Rattus norvegicus: one gene and its partner. The protein of the gene in region 2 purifies or fractionates together with the protein of the main gene of each other region. This does not show direct contact. Links are inferred from orthologs where the notes say so. Each region holds a gene or a part of one and is shown on either strand. Other genes may lie near its edges. The genes, in order: Snrnp70 and Gemin4.

What was found.
Region 1: the proteins of Gemin4 (region 2) and Snrnp70 purify together in Homo sapiens (affinity purification with mass spectrometry; 5 studies listed by BioGRID and IntAct, counting the BioPlex papers as one, with this or other methods). This does not show direct contact. The link is inferred for Rattus norvegicus from reciprocal best matches to the Homo sapiens genes GEMIN4 and SNRNP70.

What each region holds. Positions count from the first base shown.
Region 1 is NC_086019.1:105,002,843-105,006,666, forward strand, and holds part of Snrnp70 (U1 small nuclear ribonucleoprotein 70 kDa), read right to left. Parts: intron 1,500-3,824; coding exon 1,435-1,499; intron 1,313-1,434; coding exon 1,250-1,312; intron 1-1,249. UniProt on the Homo sapiens protein: Component of the spliceosomal U1 snRNP, which is essential for recognition of the pre-mRNA 5' splice-site and the subsequent assembly of the spliceosome. SNRNP70 binds to the loop I region of U1-snRNA.
Region 2 is NC_086028.1:61,566,113-61,568,690, forward strand, and holds part of Gemin4 (gem-associated protein 4), read right to left. Parts: intron 1,897-2,578; coding exon 1-1,896. UniProt on the Homo sapiens protein: The SMN complex catalyzes the assembly of small nuclear ribonucleoproteins (snRNPs), the building blocks of the spliceosome, and thereby plays an important role in the splicing of cellular pre-mRNAs.

The DNA of each region.
Region 1 (3,824 bases), on a different chromosome or scaffold from region 2:
ATTTGGAATAGTTAGTCCCTGTCTTAACAAACAAATAAAAAAAGTCTGTGAAGGGGTTGAGGATTTAGCTCAGTGGTAGAGCCCTTGCCTAGGAAGCGCAAGGCCCTGGGTTCGGTCCCCAGCTCCGAAAAAAAGAACCAAAAAAAAAAGAAAAAAAAGTCTGTGATCTGTAGCTTAGTTGGTAGTAATAACCTAAAAATGCATGAAGCCCTGTATTCAACCCCTAAAACATCAAAATTGAAGGTCATGAAGGTCATCTTCTCTATATAATGAACTCAAGGCCAGCCTAGACTCTGTGGGACAATCTTAAGAGCCAGGGAGAGGGCTGAGTTTGATCTCCAGGATTCATACCAAGGAAGAAAACCCATCTGAAGTGGCTCCACACATGCCAATCCTCTCCTCCTTCCCACTGCAATAAGGCAGTGCAGAGAACCCAAGATGTCCCCTCACATCTACATGGCAGCTCAGTCATAGGAATTCTAGATCCAATGCCTTCTGGCCTTCACGGGCACTGCACTCATGTGAATACGAATACATACAGGCAGTCAGGAATACGAAGAAATGGGTCAGTGGTTAAGAGCACTTGATGGTCTTGCAGCGGACACGGCTTGCTTCCCACCACTCACATGGTGGCTTATGACCCTGTGTAACCCGTTCCAGAAAACTTAGCAACCTATTCTGGACTTCTTGTGCACCAGTCACCAGTGTAGTAATACACTCAGATACAAGCAGGCAAAGGACACCCATATACGTAAAACAAAGAATTCTTAAGTCTATAACGCAGCAATTATACAGGGACTAGGGATATAGTTTCAGGTACAATGCTTGCTTAGCATATACACCTCTGCCCTGGGCTTAAGCCCTAGTCCTGGGGGCAGAAGAGAACAAATAACTAATTTAAGAGGTCTTGGGCAATAATTTGCATTAAGTTTTAGGCAAGTACAAACTGTAAAATTCCAACCAACTTACCACCCAAACACAGCCTAACCCCATAATGGGCTGACTTAACCTTAATCGACTGACTGCACATACACCAACTTACAGCAGGCTGAACACTGCAGAGCTGGTCTTCAAATCCACAAGGCCTCACCATTTCCAATGTTACTTGACATTAAAGCTATACTAAAGGAAATAAACCCAGGCCCAGAATGATGTTCCTAGGCAGGGAACCCAGCCGCCTTCTTCTCTTCAGGCCACTGCTCCCTCCTCCAAGTACCCCCACCTCAACCCTCTACCTGGACACACTTACTCTTTTGATGGGTCCGTACACCTCAAACTCTCTTCGCAGCTTAGATTCTGTTGTGTCATAGTTCTACAAGACATAAAGCTAAGTTAAGTGGAAGAAGCACATTGTTCCAAAGCCCTTGAACCACTCAGAACTAGACCCAAATTCTCAGTAGCCTAGGATACCCAGGACAGGAACTGGGTACTTACCACTCTAGCCACGAACAGAGTCTTGAAGGCATCGCCCTGAGCATTGGGATCATTGTGAGGGTCCCCTGTACAAAGAGAAGATCATTTTGAAGTAGACAGTGCCCACAGTTTTGGATAGAGGAGCAATGGATGGGAAGAGGCCGAGTACATGAAGATGGAACCTAGGCACCCCCGACCCCGAGAGAAAAGCTGAGTGTGATTTAGTAAGCTCGAGTACACCCCGTTTCAGGACTGGTTTCACTAAAGTTCAATGGTCTTTTTCTAGAGTGATTGACAGATGATGATAACAGTCTCCTGGGATAGCAAAAACATCAAACAGGATGTGGAAGACCTAAAAGTCACTTCACAACTATATACTTTGGCTAGCCATTCCCAGTGCAAGGTGAACTGAGCATTACCCAAGGCTGTGGGATCTCACTGGAGGAATGGCTTGAGCTAGCTTGTGACAGACTGCAACCACAGCAAAGGAGCAAACCTGGTACCAAACAGTCTCAGACCTCAGACTACAGAACCAGAGTCCAGGATAGGTGGGGTCAGTCTGGGCTACGAAATGAGACCCTGTCTCAAAAAGGAAGATAGTTAAGGATAGGTTTTCTCCTCCATTCCCTAGCCCTGAGGCAGGGACCCTGGGCTAGTGCTAAAAGCAAATGACCAGGAACTTCCAAGACACTGTTCCATTTGGACAAGAATTAAGTCTCCAGAAAAAAACCAAGAATCTATTAACCAATCTTTATGGGGTGTGGGGTGCTAGAAGCTGCACCCCTGTGCTGAACATTCTGTGCCCATCTTATCAGCCACCCTGGCTCTCTCATTCTTACAATCCTTAGAATGTAGCTAGAACTGCTAAATAAAGAGGTCATAGAAGAGATAAAAACACAGTTTGGGGAAAAGGTGAATGCTAAGAATTTGAGGCCAGTCTGAGCTACAGAAAGCAATGCTCTTTAAAAAAAAAAATCAAAATAAAGGGGGTTGGGGGTTGGAGAGATGGCTCAGCAGCTAGCTGTCATTCCAAAGATCTTCCTGAGTTCAATTTCCAGCAACCACATGGTGGGTCACAACCATCTGTAATGGGATCTTCTAGTGTATATAAATAAATCTTAAAAAACTTAAAGATCTTCGTCCTTCTCAGGATCATAGCAATTTGGAAGAACACAAGGCATGTCTAGGGCCTTTAAGCAGGAAAGCAGGGCTATTTCTTCTGCCTGCCTATGCTTAAGCAGTCCAGACAAATGGTCTTTGTTACAAATTGTGTTTCTCATATTGACAGATCACAGGCATTAATATTTTGCAAGCTTCTTCAGTTATCAGTTGTGACTTTCCCACCAACAGGCAAACTAGATCCAAAGAATCAGCCATGGTGGTAGTCCTTTTGATCATTAAGGGCATGGTCATGGGCTGGAGAGATGGCTCGGCGGTTAAGAGCACGCGACTACTCTTCCAGAGGTCCTGAGTTCAATTCCCAGCAACCACATGGTGGCTCACAACCATCTGTAAAGAGATCCGATGCACTCTTCTGGTGTGTCTGAGGACAGCTACAGTGTACTTATATATAATAAATGAATAAAAAAAAAAAGGGCATGGTCATAACAAAAGAGGGCTCTTCAAAACTTAAGGCTTTCAACTGCACCTCCACTCAAGAGATGCCCCTCAACATTGCTGACCTCATCCCACTACCTGTCCCTAGGCAGGGTTAATCCTAGGGTGCTGAAAATTGGGAGGAGTAAAGAAAAAAGGAGTCAGGTTGGTGAGATGGCTCAGTGGTTAAGAGCACTGACTGCTCTTCCAGAGGTCCTGAGTTCAATTCCCAGCAACCACATGGTGGCTTACAACCACCTGTAATGAGACCTGATGCCCTCTTCTGGTGAGTCTGAAGACAGCTACAGTGCACTCATACATAAAGCAAATCTTTAAAAAAGTTTTATTTTTAAAAAAGAAAAGGAATCAGTGATGATTCTTGTCCCCTTTTCCTTTCTCTTTGACAGCCAGTGCCTAAATGTGCATATGTGTCAAGGTTGAACTTCTTAGGACTCCCTTGTCAGGACCCTAACACAGAACTAGACTACAGGAAGCCTTACAGCTAGAAAACTTCACTAGGCTTTCCATTAGTTGCTGTGAAACCTGAAACGCCCCCTCTTTATAAGATACTCTACAACTCCACAACATACTACTTGTTTTTCATCTTGCAATGGGAATAATCATTCCTCCTGCACGTACAAGTCACCATGAGTTCATAACATGAAGGACATCAAGTGCTCAGCAAAGGGACAGAGTCTCCTTTAATAGAAGCTTCTATAGTTACTGGGCATAGATAGATACCCTACCGTACCTGATCCATCCTCTGCTCTATTTTAGACAGTACAATGAACCTGCTTCAATTACCACCACAGGGC
Region 2 (2,578 bases):
TCACAGGATTCATCAGGCAGCTCACCAGCTCCAGAAACTGCTTCTCTTCTTTGGGTGTAGAGAACTTGGTCCACACAGTTTCTTTGAGGCAGGACACCATGAAACTGGTATATGGATTTGGCCCTTGTTCTTCTGTGAACTTCAGGGCAGGGAAGGCAGTGAGAATCTGAGCCAAAAACCTATGTGTGCCAAGGTTGGTCACAGCGAGGCTACACATCTTCTTCACCACAACTTCTGGGTTCAGGATCACCAGGTGGGCCACAGAGGCCACAGCTTTAGCCAGGCCCTGTTCAGAGGTGCTCTGTGCGAGTTGGTTAAACGTTGTATTGAGATCTTCCTGAAAACCCTCCAAGTAATTAGACAACCTGTCTGAGAGGCCCTTTGGCCCCAAATAATGCAGGACACCAGAAAGGACTTTATTTTTATCTGGTAGAGAGAGGTCTTCATAGCATTCCAGAGTCAAGCAGATTACCTGCTTGATGTGAGTCTGGGGGATAACCCTATTAGAGTTTATGACTTCCATCACTGTTTCCAGCAGACTCAAGACCAAGTCTGGTTCTCTGAAGAGACACCTGTTGTTAACCAGGCAGGCAACCCACTCGTCTGAAAAGGCCCACTTCTTCTCAGAGGCAAAAATGTAGCACATCTCCATGTACCGGTCCATCTTCTGTTCAATGATGGCCATAGCAATGGAGGCAGTGATGTCCTCAAGGCCCTTGTCGTTCAGCATTCTGCTGGTTTTCCTCAGGAAGTCCCTGACACACTTAGCCAGTTCTAAGACCACCTCCCTCTCCTCCTTGGGCAGGCTGGCAGTATCCAGGTAGAGCTCCAAATTCTGGCTGAAGGAAGTCAGACTGTCACACAGCCGGTAGGTGTCATAATTTGTCCCCTGACTGCTGTTGAGCATGTCCTGTAGTTCTGTACCCCACTCCTGCAGCAGGTTGTACATAAGCTCAAACCCCATGAAAACAGTCTCACTGGGGAGTTTAGCCAGTGAGGTGAGACTCACGTCCCGCTCTGCCTCCTTTACCTTGTCTGCCAGGGCCTGTTGATGGTATGGGTTCTGGGTGTCTGAATTCCACACAGAGATCACCGTCGCTAGTTTGTCTAGGTACACAGTGGCAGACACCTCCTGGGTGTCATCCTCCATCAATGCAAACACGCTCAGCATGTCAGCCAAGTTAGCTAATGCACAGCACTTCATTCCAAGGGACAGGATTCTCTTTTGGATCTGCTTCAGCCCGTTAAGCAGCATAGCCAAAAGTGGCATGGTGGGACCTACATCTGGGTCAGACTTAAACCTCTTCGGAGGATGGGAAAACTCATCTGAGGATGGCAAGTATTTATGGGCCATCGTCCTGAACTGGGAAAGCAAGGGGTCCTGTTCATCACCCTTGTGCTTCATCATTTCCCACCAGACATCTAGGAAGAAAGCCACATCCTTGGAAGAAGTGTCAATAGTCATGTGCTCCAGAAAGCTCTGTAGTTCTGAGCGGCCGATGGTGGTAGGCAGGGCCATTAGGAGCTGAATGAAGAGTCCAGAAGCTTCCAGGGACTTAAGCAGCTCAAAAAGGACTGTGTGGTTGATGGTAGGGATCATGTTGCCCACGGAAAAGAATACATCTTCCTGCCACCGAGTATCAGTGTCAGAAGGGCTGACAGGGGAGGGCTGAAGAACCTTGGCCCAGATGATGATTAATGCTTTCTTCTTCCAGGCAAATGGCTGGGAATGTGCTGTGGCTGAGGAGATCTCCTTCAAGGCCTCTACAATGGGCTGTCCCACGTGTTCCCAATCAGACTTTGTCAACTGTTCCAGGGCTTTGGGGTGGAATAGCTGTTCAGCCATCAAGAAGCCCCCATGCAGAATAGTCATTTCCTCACAGATATTCAAGGGTCCTGCACAGAGAAGCCAAGAGTTAATGAAGTTTTTGGAATAGTGAGAGAAGCTAGGAGAAACAGCCGTCAGATGGTTATCATTATCAAGAAGACCTTGACATCAGCAGGGGAGGAAGGTTAGTAAGAGCTCCAAAAGGGCTGGGGTCACCTGGACTTGGCTGAGGAACAAAAACTGGTTTCCAAGATATCTGGCCTGGATATCAGGACAATGGTACCTCTCTGGAAATAGGAGGCAGAGAGGGATTCAGAATAGGCTTTCAAGTATTTTAAAAAATATTTTAATTATGTGTTTGTATTTGTGGGGGTTTATACTTATGAATGCAATCTCCACAGAGGCCAGAAGAGGATGCTGGATCCTCTGGAGCTGGAGTTACGGGTCATTGAGCCTGCTGGTGTGGCTGCTGGGAACTCAACTCTAGTCTACAAGAAACAAATCTGCTCTTAACCTCAGGCAGGACAAGCTTCAAGTTCTGGTTACCTGGAGTCTGAGGTAGAACATTTAGTGATGTCCTTCAGCAAAGGCAATGAGTTAAGGAGAAAAGGCCTGATATGAGTATAGGCAGTGCCAACACAGAGAAGTCCATAAAAATTAAGGAAGTGACTAAGATCCCTCAGCAAAGTGTTAAGAGGACAACTGGCTGCTGAGTTAACAGTGGGTAGATTAGGAGACTGTGCTACCAAG